Saccharomyces cerevisiae S288C: one gene and its partner. The main gene of each other region encodes a partner of the protein of the gene in region 2 in a complex. Each region holds a gene or a part of one and is shown on either strand. Other genes may lie near its edges. A codon is read from its position in the direction of its gene.

Region 1 (5,113 bases), on a different chromosome or scaffold from region 2:
TCGCTCTGCCAAAACGTATCGTAGTTATCATCTAGAGCAAAGTCCACAGGATTCCCCAACTTAAAAGAAGAAGGCTTCCAAAGCGCTAAATGTGTCACGTTGATCATCCTTGCCGAATCCAATATTTCAATACCTTGGTGGAACATATGTTGCAAGTTCTCCGGTGTAGGATTCTGATACTGAATCTCTTCTTGGAACCCATTCACGTAGAGATCTTTGGTTGCCGCATCCACAATCCTGTCATCCAACACCAACACTGAAGGTTTATTATGGCAACTCTTAACAGGTTTGATAAGCTCTGAGGGTGCTAAATGGTCCAAGACTTTGTTTATTCCAATCGGGTCCATTATCTGACTTCTAAATCTCGTATTATTTTTGCCACCTTCTGTGGTCAGTTTATTTAACACTTTCTTTCTTTTATATAGACGGCGCTTATTTTGCCGCATTTTTTCTACTCTAACTACTTTACATCTGATATCTCCACGGCTTATGTATATAAGCTACAAAAGGGCTTCTGAAAGAACTTTACGTTCACTGTCGGATAGAGTCTCGTAAATACAATGGAAGCCACTCACATCTTTGCTTGCAACCTCTTTAAAGAATCTTACCAGTAGCTGAACAACAGATTCCTTCACGTCCATGAGTCCCGTTATATCGTCTGAATCGTCGTCTGCTTCTTCATCGACATCATCATCAATATATTCTTTCAACTTATCGTAATCGAGTACATCATCTACATCTTCCCAATCATCATTGTCGTCATCTTTATTAGCATTTACCACTTCTTGCTTAATATCGCTTGTGATCAATTGTTCTGGATTCGGTTGTTTACTTTGGAAGCTTAACTCAGAAACAAACAATTTAATGATCTTGGTATAAAGTGGAACTTGTACATACCTGTCTGGCATTTTCTTAGCCATTGATCTTGTAATGATCAGGTCCCCTTCGTATGGTATCAAGTTACCATTGACAACCACTTTCTGTAGCCTTTTGTCGTTCAGGAAGAAAAGGTTGCTCAAAGCAACGATATTTTCTTTGATTCTTTTTTCACCTCTAATGACTTCAAAGGCTTCTATCCATTTTCGCATCACCAATGTCAAAGCATCAGTATTGTCAATTTGGAAACTAGACAAAAAATCCACCGTTTGTTTAGGATCATTACACGTTAAGAAGCATAATACAGAAAGAAGGTTTTGCTCAGTAGAAATGTTTTGTGTCTTAATTAACCTTACCACAACGGCTTCCAAAATTCTTCCTATTAACGGTTGGATTTCCTTTGAAAACCTTGTGAATATGGCAACTACCAATGGACCGACGTTCATAGCGGCTGAATCCGATACCTCCAAAGACAGCAGCCTTTCTAGAACCTTCATGATATCCATTAACCTTGGCTCCATGGCTCGTGTATCTGTGTTGAAAATCAGGTAGCTGAATGCCTCCGTGGCTAACTGTAGGGTCTCATCTTCAGTAGAGAACGCTAATACTTTTGCTAATGGTTCAAATAGGTATTGATTTATTTCATCTGGTAAAAATCCATCGTTGGGTTTTTTCTTCAAAAAAACTGTGATGAATTCCAAGACTAATGATAGCAGGGGTGAGTATCTATAATTGTTTGCATTGTTGGAATCTAGCACATTAATAAATGATGGGAGACATAATTCAATGTAATTTTTGTAATTATCCATATTGATATTATCCAATAGTTTCTCCAAGCATTCTTGACTTTGTACAACGACCTGTACATTTGCTGGATCCTCGGATGAGATCGTGAACACAAGATGAAATTCAGCCTGTAAAATTTCCTTTCTTGAATGAGGTTCTTTCGGATTGTAGCTAATGACTTGACTTAATACTTCCATTAAAGCCCCATTAGTGTCCTCTTCGGCATCACTACTAACCTGGTTGATTATTCGAATTACTTTTTCCTGGGTTTCTGAGCAGACCTCTGGTCCAAGGACTGAATCTAGTTCGGCAAAATAACAATAGTACGTAAATGCTATTAATGTTGCGGATTTAATGAGCTCTTTATCAGATTTTAGCGCCAAATTAAGACTTTTTGCCAAGAATGCAGATGTCAAGGGTTTGATATCAGGTAATGCATCTATAAATTTGTCTAGTACTCTGGGAATAGTCAAAATTGCACGCGCCAATATTAATTCTGGTATTTCTTGTGATACTAAGATATTTTCTAACGTTTTTATTAAAATTTGCAAAGATTGATCGATATTTTCACCAGTTATCTCATCATCATTAAGCAAAATACACTGTAAGAGATATAGTAAAGATTCTAAAGTTGAATAATTACACGTGCTGTGTTCTATATCGTTGGAAACAACTTTGAAAATTAGGGAAAGTTGAGGATTGGGTAATGAAGTAAAAAATTCATTGGCTTGATCTCTAACATTATATGATGCTGCTAGGCCTGTTTCCTTCGATACAAATGTATTGAAATCGCTTGTCCATATCTCTCTTGTCTCAGAACTTAGCTGACAAAGAATGGTTAAAGATGTTATAATTTTGTTCATCTCTTCAACACTAAATTGCAAAGTGCAAACACTAGTCAAAAATTCTACAATATAAATAGAACAATCATGAACTGTTTCTAAAAGGGGTTCACTTTCAGTAGTTTCGACATTTGCATTTATATGGGTAACGTTTTCCAGATCTTGGATTGCCATTATTTTGAACTGTTTTTGTAATTCACTTGAGAAATGCTTTCTAGAGAAATCATTTTTAATAAAAACCAAATTCTCGTATATAATGGATTTAAATTTCAACTGAGAAATAACATCTACGTTTCCAAAATTCAAAGTCAACAATTGTCCCAATATCTGTAAAGAAGTAGCTAAACATTGGGAGACAAAACTTTTTCGTGACGCCTCATCATACTCATTATGGGAGCTCATTTGTAGAAGACATGCTTTAAGTAGCTTCAAAGCAGCAATTTTGGCTATCAAAGTAGAAGTTTCTGTATTGAGTACTTTGAAAACGATCTCCATTGTCGCCAAGCCAATTCCGCCTTCAAAGAACATTTCTTCAGATACGACATCATCGTAAATTTCATTCAATAAAGACATCGCATTTAATGAATGCTGATGAGAGATAGCATCATAAATAACTGTTAAAAGCTGCGGCCATTGATCAGGAAAATCAACCGCAGATATCTGAACAATACAGTAAGATGCACCATTTTTTATTTTGGTATTTTCATTGTCATTTAAGCATAATTTCAGTAGCACTTCTCGGATAAAATCTTTAACATCTATTTCGACGTTCGATGTAGAACGGTATGATTCAAATCCTGGACTCCAATACATGGTGATCAATTTTCTTAACGACAATAAAGCAAACTGTCTCGATTCTAGAGAAGCTTCGTGCTGTAAGGCAACGTTTGCCAGCGCTTTAAACACTTGAGATGCATCGGAATCACACCACTGTAACAATTGCGTTTCCGCAACTTCTCTAGTGTGTTTATCAGCTGATTGAGCACCTATTATCAATTCATTAATATCCATTTTAATGTGTTGATAGTGTTACAATTACGTTCAAGATTTTCGGATCGTGTATGCAGGTCATATACATCCATATGTATCTTTTTTTTTTTTTCCTAGTATACCCAAGGTATAACGCGTTGATAGAAAGGTTGACAATAAATTCATTATATAGGGGTCCTGTGAGGTAGTTTCTGAATCCCAGTGAAAAAAGTCATAAGTGAAAGAAGTCGAAGTTTTTCACAAAATAAATTAGTTTCTTTTTTTGATCATGAATACTGAAGGTGCTTCTTTAAGTGAACAATTGCTGGATGCAGCTAGAAGAAACAATCTGGATCTTTTGGAGACCGTATTTGATAGCTTAGATAATGATCCTGAGAAGATTGCAAAGCTAATTAACGAATCCAAAGAACCACTGGGGAATACAGCGTTACATTTATGTTGTAAGTATGGATCCTGGGAAGTTCTCGACAAGATTCTCGATCAAGACGGTGAAATCGAAATAGACCCACAAAACGACGTTGATGGCGACACTCCGTTACATGTTACTGTCAGATACAGTCAAGAGGAGCCTGAGCATGGAACTTTTATTGCTAGAAACTTAATTGAAGTGGGTGCGGATCCTAGGGTGAGAAACTATAACAATCAAAAGCCAGTTGATTTGGTTCATGGTGATGAACTGGATGAATTAATTGACCTTTTGCAGGGTGCCGAGTTAGCGATTGATAGTACCAATGGATCAGGTGATAACAATGAGGATGGGGAAATGATAGATGATGGTCCATCTGACGATGACGAAGAAGATGATAAAAAATGATAAAATATGTGATGATAATACCACAGAGAGGGAAAGATAGATGAACTCTGGATATATAGATATTTCTACTGTGTATATATTTCTTTAAGGTGCACTAACAAAAAAGTGTGCATATACGCATATTCAACAATATATATATATATTACTTCACATCATCCGTTCTGGTGGGTATCCAACCATCGGGAGATAAAATGTTCTTTATTGCGATAATTAACTGGCTTCTCTTTTTTTGACGAGATTTAAATTCCAAATAGCTTATTCCTTCATACTCTGGTCTTATTTTTTTGAATAGTTCCCATTGTGCAAACCGGCTTACTTGCGATTGACAGTGTTTCCTCAGTGGTTTCGATGATTTGGTATAAAATCCATTCCTCACGCCATTAAGAATCGCTTCTTCGGTGCTAAAGTCATCCATAAAGAGCTTGACACTACACATTAGACCAGGAACATCCTCCTCATCCAATTTATCATCATAAAATGGTTTGAGGCAATTCAGGAATTTAATTTCATTATCTAGATTCGGTAGACGAGTGTGAAATGATTGCTCTAGATGATGTTTCGTTTCATCTTCTAAATTAGGAATCACAATGTACTTTAAAAATACAGGTTTTTCAAAGAGTTCATAATTTAAACAATTCAGTACCGACGACCGTTGTTTCATTAATAATTTATCAGAACAGGATTTAGATAAAGTGATATTGGAATCATATCTTCCTGGTTTAGTCCTAACGACATTTCTTCTATTGAAATTCAAGCGTCCCCTCAATATTGTTTTCACACTACGGTCGACGTATTGAAATTCGTC
Region 2 (6,667 bases):
TATATTATTACCGTATGCTGAAAAGTACAATGTTACTCTGGAAAAGCTTAGGTACCTTTATAACGAAGGCATGATTAAAGAACCCAAACTGGATGCATTTTTTTTACATGATCGTGCCGTGAGAGAGTCAGGACATGACACGACTTATAGGTTTGAAGGTGTATGTGCATATTTAGCGACAATTGATCTAAACTCCTTGCTCTATAAATATGAGAAAGATATTGCTTTCGTCATTAAGGAGTATTTTGGTAATGAATATAAAGATGAGAATGATGGAACGGTAACCGATTCTGAACACTGGGAGGAGCTAGCTGAACTGAGGAAAACAAGGATTAATAAGTATATGTGGGACGAAGATTCAGGGTTTTTCTTCTATTATAACACGAAACTGAAATGCAGAACGTCTTATGAGTCTGCAACGACTTTTTGGAGTTTGTGGGCTGGTCTTGCAACTGAAGAGCAAGCAAAAATCACAGTAGAAAAAGCTCTTCCTCAGTTAGAAATGCTCGGCGGACTAGTTGCATGCACAGAAAAATCAAGAGGTCCTATTTCTATTGATAGACCGATCAGGCAATGGGATTATCCTTTTGGTTGGGCGCCGCACCAAATATTAGCCTGGAAAGGTTTATCTGCATATGGTTATCAACAAGTAGCTACAAGATTGGCTTATAGGTGGCTGTACATGATTACAAAATCATTTGTTGATTATAACGGAATGGTGGTAGAAAAATATGATGTGACAAGAGGGACTGATCCGCATCGCGTTGATGCGGAATATGGTAATCAAGGTGCTGATTTTAAGGGCGTCGCTACAGAAGGCTTTGGTTGGGTGAACACAAGTTATTTGCTCGGATTGAAATATATGAATAATCATGCAAGAAGGGCTCTCGCTGCTTGTAGTCCACCATTGCCATTTTTCAATAGTTTGAAACCCTCTGAGAAAAAATTGTATTACCTATAATATTGACGAACATATGTAAATAAGATATATGTTATATTCTTCTTTCTATCAATAACCATGAGATTGTGCCTCAGTAATATTTGAGACGATTTAGAGTAAGGTCAAATATTATTATTAATCAAGTTGTGTAAAGGCTCATTTGTGAAGGTTAGAATAGTAATCGATGATTTTCAAGTAAAAGTGTTTGAAGGGCATTTCAGTAACATCTTCAAACTAGGAGTTTGTTGAGACAAAAAAGTCTGATTTTCATAAGATCATAACTTACGCTTTGAAGATCGTTATGAGTACCTTGTAGCTTGCCAGATCTTCTTGCTTATTCTTAAGCTCTTGGGTAGTACTGTATAAGACTGCTTGACATCGGGAACACTATCATTACCGTGTGATAGAATTCTCGTACCAAGCCGGTTCACCTTTGCGTGGTCTAGTGCATAGGAAGAATGACTAATAGAAAGCTTTCATTTCTATTAGTGTCTTAAATGCGAAGAAGGTATGGGAATCTATTACATACATGAAGAATATAGGATCTGTATATCGTCGTCACCGACGTAAGGTTTTTTTGTCAATTCTCGGTGAACAATTTTTTGCAAGAAATATATTGATACTTCTTGTTGAAATATTTTTCTTTTTCGGAAAACAAAAACATAAAATAATTATTTAAGAAAAAAAATTAATTAATAAATTTAAATAGAAAATCTTTTTTACTTAATAATAATTAAATAAATAAGTCACATGATTTATGTAGGATCAATTTGCTCAAGATTAATTTATTATTATTGATATTAGTAGGTGCCAGTTGAATAGCTATATTTTCAGTCTGTTTGAACGTTCTTTTTTTCATTTTCTGCTGAAAGCAAGTACTCCTACTTTTATTACTTTACATGTTATCGGAGGCCTGCACAGACACTTGTATCCTATACTATCAAGGTAAATATGATTGATTGATCCTCTTGGGAAATGGGATTTTAAGTTTTGTTAGCATTCTGGTTTGCCAACCTGTTGGTAAAGCACTATTTTTCAAGCTTTTGCAACGAGATTTGTCTCTTTGATTTTTTATTTATGATTTCTAACTTTTTACTTTTAGTTAAACTATTAAAGAATAATTTTCGCAAGGTACATAGCGATTTAAGTAGTTCAGAAAAGAAATTATTTAAAAATTACTCGCTCTCTTATTTGAAATGAAGATGGTTTTCAGACAAACTCCTACACAAGCTTGTTACTGGCTTTCAGTCCGAAAACAGCTCCAAACCCTTTAATAAAACCTTTCGTTTCTTTTACTTTTTATTCGAATTATATAGCTCTTTGACATTCCTTTTTTAGTATGATTCAAGCTCCCCTCTTTTCCACCCCGTGAAAAACAGAATATCATTAACCGGGATTCACTGACATCGTCAAAAGGAGAGATCAAGATATTCAGTTTTTGTCATTGCCGTCGTGATCATTAACTATAAAGCACATAAACTACAAGTTTAGAAAATGCCCAAGATCTTTTGTTTAGCGGACGTGTGTATGGTCCCTATTGGCACCGACTCTGCTAGTATTTCTGATTTTGTTGCACTCATTGAAAAAAAAATCAGAGAAAGCCCATTAAAGAGCACTTTACACAGTGCAGGAACAACAATTGAAGGGCCTTGGGATGATGTGATGGGTTTGATTGGCGAAATCCATGAATACGGTCATGAGAAAGGATATGTTAGAGTACACACTGATATTCGTGTTGGGACTAGAACTGATAAGCACCAAACTGCTCAAGATAAGATCGATGTTGTTTTAAAAAAAATTTCTCAATGAATGCTCGTGTAGTGAACCTAAATAGGGTATATCTTTAAGGAGAGTTTAAGAAACAATTTAATAATAACTGTTTGCAAAATATCTTTCCCAATTTTTTTTGTTTATAAAGTTATATATATACATTTATACAACTCCCTTCGGAGGCTGATAGACTAGACCCTTCCAATCATATCTGGACAAGTAACAGAACCCTAATGTTACAATATATAAAAAATGCCACTAATAAAAAGAAAACATGACTAAATCACAATACCTAGTGAGTGACTTAGGCTTGAGTAGAGGAGGAGTATTTGGTAACAGCCCTAGTACCTTCGGAGACGGCATGTTTAGCCAATTCACCAGGTAAGATCAATCTAACGGCTGTTTGGATTTCTCTAGCAGAAATAGTGGATTTCTTGTTATAAGCGGCCAATTTAGAAGCTTCAGTAGCAATTCTTTCAAAGATATCGTTAACGAAAGAGTTCAAAATAGACATAGACTTCTGGGAAATACCAGTGTCTGGGTGAGTTTGCTTCAAAACTTTGTAAATATAAGAGGAATAGGTCTCCTTTCTAACCTTAGATCTCTTCTTACCATCGACGGAGGTTGATGTTTTCTTGGCAGCTGGCTTCTTTTCAGCTGGAGCTTTGGAAGCTGGTTTCTTTTCGGCGGCAGAGGACATTAGTTGTAGAGTAAGTTGTTGTTGGTTTGAGTATAGAGCAATCAGAAAAAATTAACAAGAAGAAAGTAAAATTTTTAAAAAGCTAAATAAATAAACAAAACCAGTCAGCAAAAAAATTTTACACATATACCATGATATATAATAATATATTTAAAAACCTGTGTTATGCTCAAATAACGGTTACTGATCCAAAACCTTATATATGACGGCAAGTGTCTCACTGTTGCATTACGCGATGTTTCTTTTCTTTGTTCTTGTAAGCGCGATTTTACCAGAACTAGATGGCGCTCGTGATCCTGAAAACGGGGAGAAATTTTGAGAACACCGCTTTATTAGGCGAAGCGGTGGGCACAGCTCACGCGTAAGGTGTTCCCATTATTTCTCAAAGTGATGCGAATTTCAGAGAACACATTAACCTGGGGGCCATAAACGCGACGTGCTACCATTTTCGTTACGTATACTTAGGCCAGAGATTACAACATGACTACTAATATCAAACATAACTCTATATATAAGGGATGAAGATGTATGCTTTCTTAGAATTTCAAACATGTTCCGTTAAAGTTTTACTTTTCGATTTCAATTTCGACTGCATGATGCTTTTCTTAGGTAGTTTTTTGTTATTAAATAGTATCATAAATTCTTGTCTTTTTACATAAGAATTAGGAAAGTACAGAACAAGAGCAAATTTAATATATAATGTCCGGTGGTAAAGGTGGTAAAGCTGGTTCAGCTGCTAAAGCTTCTCAATCTAGATCTGCTAAAGCTGGTTTAACATTCCCAGTTGGTAGAGTGCACAGATTGCTAAGAAGAGGTAACTACGCCCAGAGAATTGGTTCTGGTGCTCCAGTCTATCTAACTGCTGTCTTAGAATATTTGGCTGCTGAAATTTTAGAATTGGCTGGTAATGCTGCTAGAGATAACAAAAAAACCAGAATTATTCCAAGACATTTACAATTGGCCATCAGAAATGATGATGAATTGAACAAGCTATTGGGTAATGTTACCATCGCCCAAGGTGGTGTTTTGCCAAACATTCACCAAAACTTGTTGCCAAAGAAGTCTGCCAAGACTGCCAAAGCTTCTCAAGAACTGTAAGAACTGAGTTGAAAAGAAACAAAGCAAATCAAACATTCTTGTCATTTGGGGTTTTAAAGTAGGTCATATGAGGAAGACTGGTATGTCTTTTATCTAACAGTTTTATAAATAGCGTCGTTTTATTAAAGACAGTGTATAGTATTACTATTAATAAAGAAAATAAAAAACGTATCAAGTTTACGGTTTTACTTACGGAAATGCTAACGTACTACAGCTTTGACGTTATAACTTGGATTTTTTATTCATTAGTATACATGTTATAAAGATATATTACAGCTAGGCTCTCTTTCTTTTGTTACGTCTTTGATAATACCCATTTTCATCCTTTTCATGCTTTCTCTTTTCCCTCGATCTCGCATGCTTTCTCAACTTTTTATCAGCAGAAATTTGTGGAGCGTTAACAGCCAGAATTGCCCTTTTAGATCTCCTTTCCTTTCTTCTTTCTAATACGGTCTGTTTGACAGCAGTGTATATTTTTGTAAAATCGGATACTTGCAATTTGTCTTCCAGTATTTTTAAACATTCGTTTGAAAGAGTGCGTAGTTCTTCCTGTTCTTCATCAACTGCTCTTGAGTAATATGTTTCTAAATAACCATATAGCGGCAATAATATCTTTTCCCCTTCTGCAATTACTTCGTCTTCGTCCAGAACTTGAACTAATAAGGCCAATAACTGAATACACGCCTTCTTCGACATAAAAGAATCCATACGATGTTCATCCGACCTGATAATACCACCAATTCGAGTTACCATATAATCAATGGCGGTAGTATATTTTAGATCCTCTCCAGTTTGTTTTGATACATCCATTATGAACGGCGTGCGTTGCTCCTTCCATAGGATACTGATATTAACTAATGTTTTTATTGAGACGTTCGCAAGATTCTCCGGAATAGAAGGCGCACCTAATTGGTGAAGAATTCTTGTTGCAATGGTTTGAATTTCCAGATTGGTTAATGATATCTCCAGCTTATCCTTATTGGCTATGAGTTGATGAACAAGATTTGCCGCCGATTGACGGACCCATGAGTGCGGATACAAGAGACATGTGATAATACCATCCCATATGTCTTTGAAACCATGTTTATAAACGCTCTCTGTTGCTTCCATATAAGATGAGAACGTATTTAAAGCTGAGTATACCAAATCCCACTGATGTTCTGATCCTACCGACGTATCGCTCAAAATGTACCTTATACGCTTGATGGCAAGCTCGTCTAGCTCAATAGTATGTTCAAACCCAATACTTTTCAAGTAGACCTTATAAGTTCTCAACCCAAGATTTAAAAAGGATGCATTATCAACCTGTTTTAGCCAAGCGGCTATATATTTTTCAACAATTTCAAGGTCCTTATTTTCAAGCTTTGGAAGCATGGTGGAAATCAATACTGAAGCCATCTCACGGCATCTTGGCGCATCATCATTAAAAGAAACATTAACTAGCGCCAGAAAGAAGGAAGATGATAATTTGGATAGTAAAGCAGGATTAGCCTTTGTAATAATCAAATTGATCAATTCCATTACGGACTGACGGCCGGACTCGGTAGGATACTGTAAATTGTCGACCATAAATTTGAACTGCTTTTCTAAACGACCCTTACTTTGGTCATATTCCATTAAAAATTGGTAGTAAACGCTCCTGGATACATCCCTAATTTCTTTTGAGTGGTTTGTGACCATGATTTCCCTAGTAGTATCCGCAATGTCATAGAGTTCTGGAAGCATGATATGTTTTGAAACAAGTGCTTTTAGGAAATTAAAAGCAAGGCCTTGTCTGCTTGGTTCATTTAAATCTGGTAAGACCCTCCCTAGAACATAACTCAAAGCAGTATCCTTTAATGTTGAATCTGTGTGACGTATAAAGGCAGAAAGAAACTTTAAACCCATTTGGCATAATTCGCTTGAAGTTGAAGGAGAAACCTTGATAATATTTAGTACCTTCCTCGCACAGTTTTTGAAGATTTCACTAGATTCATCGGAAAAATCTAGCCTAATTAATGTAATCAGGATACGTAAAGTACTAATTACCACACCTTCATTTTCCGAAAGTAACGAATCTCTCAAAAATGGAATAAAACCCTCTAGGTGCGAGACAGTTAAAAAGGAGCGGTGTCTCGTTATTACGTTCCTAAGTAAGTCTAAAGCAAATTTTTGTAAAG

The links. Proteins that work in one complex are often made in the same cells at the same time.
Region 1: the proteins of HTB2 (region 2) and KAP114 are in contact, whole or in part, in a cryo-EM structure (PDB 8F0X), measured with the Saccharomyces cerevisiae proteins. Residues at the interface, in NP_009553.1 of Saccharomyces cerevisiae: Ser43 (codon at 3,284), Tyr46 (codon at 3,275), Val48 (codon at 3,269), Lys50 (codon at 3,263), Gln51 (codon at 3,260), Ile58 (codon at 3,239), Ser59 (codon at 3,236), Gln60 (codon at 3,233), Lys61 (codon at 3,230), Leu84 (codon at 3,161), Tyr87 (codon at 3,152), Asn88 (codon at 3,149), Lys89 (codon at 3,146), Lys90 (codon at 3,143), Ser94 (codon at 3,131), Ala95 (codon at 3,128), Arg96 (codon at 3,125), Gln99 (codon at 3,116), Thr100 (codon at 3,113), Arg103 (codon at 3,104), Leu104 (codon at 3,101), Glu109 (codon at 3,086), Leu110 (codon at 3,083), Lys112 (codon at 3,077), His113 (codon at 3,074), Ser116 (codon at 3,065), Glu117 (codon at 3,062), Thr119 (codon at 3,056), Arg120 (codon at 3,053), Lys124 (codon at 3,041); in NP_011273.1 of Saccharomyces cerevisiae: Asp155 (codon at 3,053), Glu160 (codon at 3,038), Leu202 (codon at 2,912), Gln203 (codon at 2,909), Ser205 (codon at 2,903), Ser206 (codon at 2,900), His207 (codon at 2,897), Asn208 (codon at 2,894), Tyr210 (codon at 2,888), Gln768 (codon at 1,214), Ile770 (codon at 1,208), Ser771 (codon at 1,205), Glu773 (codon at 1,199), Phe817 (codon at 1,067), Glu818 (codon at 1,064), Val819 (codon at 1,061), Ile820 (codon at 1,058), Arg821 (codon at 1,055), Gly822 (codon at 1,052), Glu823 (codon at 1,049), Ile826 (codon at 1,040), Leu853 (codon at 959), Pro855 (codon at 953), Asp859 (codon at 941), Leu860 (codon at 938), Ile861 (codon at 935), Ile862 (codon at 932), Thr863 (codon at 929), Arg864 (codon at 926), Ala867 (codon at 917).

The regions. Positions count from the first base shown.
Region 1 is NC_001139.9:43,847-48,959, reverse strand, and holds KAP114 (karyopherin KAP114), read right to left. Parts: upstream 3,516-5,113; coding exon 501-3,515; downstream 1-500. Other genes in the region: anaphase promoting complex subunit DOC1, read right to left, coding at 1-347; ankyrin repeat-containing protein ANK1, read left to right, coding at 3,763-4,308; TAD1 (tRNA-specific adenosine deaminase), read right to left, coding at 4,451-5,113. UniProt on the Saccharomyces cerevisiae protein: Required for nuclear protein import and mediates docking of import substrate to distinct nucleoporins. Serves a receptor for nuclear localization signals. Mediates the nuclear import of TATA-binding protein (TBP) and of histones H2A and H2B.
Region 2 is NC_001134.8:233,235-239,901, reverse strand, and holds HTB2 (histone H2B), read right to left. Parts: upstream 3,411-6,667; coding exon 3,015-3,410; downstream 1-3,014. Other genes in the region: alpha,alpha-trehalase NTH2, read left to right, coding at 1-961; ECM15 (Ecm15p), read left to right, coding at 2,435-2,749; HTA2 (histone H2A), read left to right, coding at 4,110-4,508; UTP20 (Utp20p), read right to left, coding at 4,785-6,667. UniProt on the Saccharomyces cerevisiae protein: Core component of nucleosome. Nucleosomes wrap and compact DNA into chromatin, limiting DNA accessibility to the cellular machineries which require DNA as a template.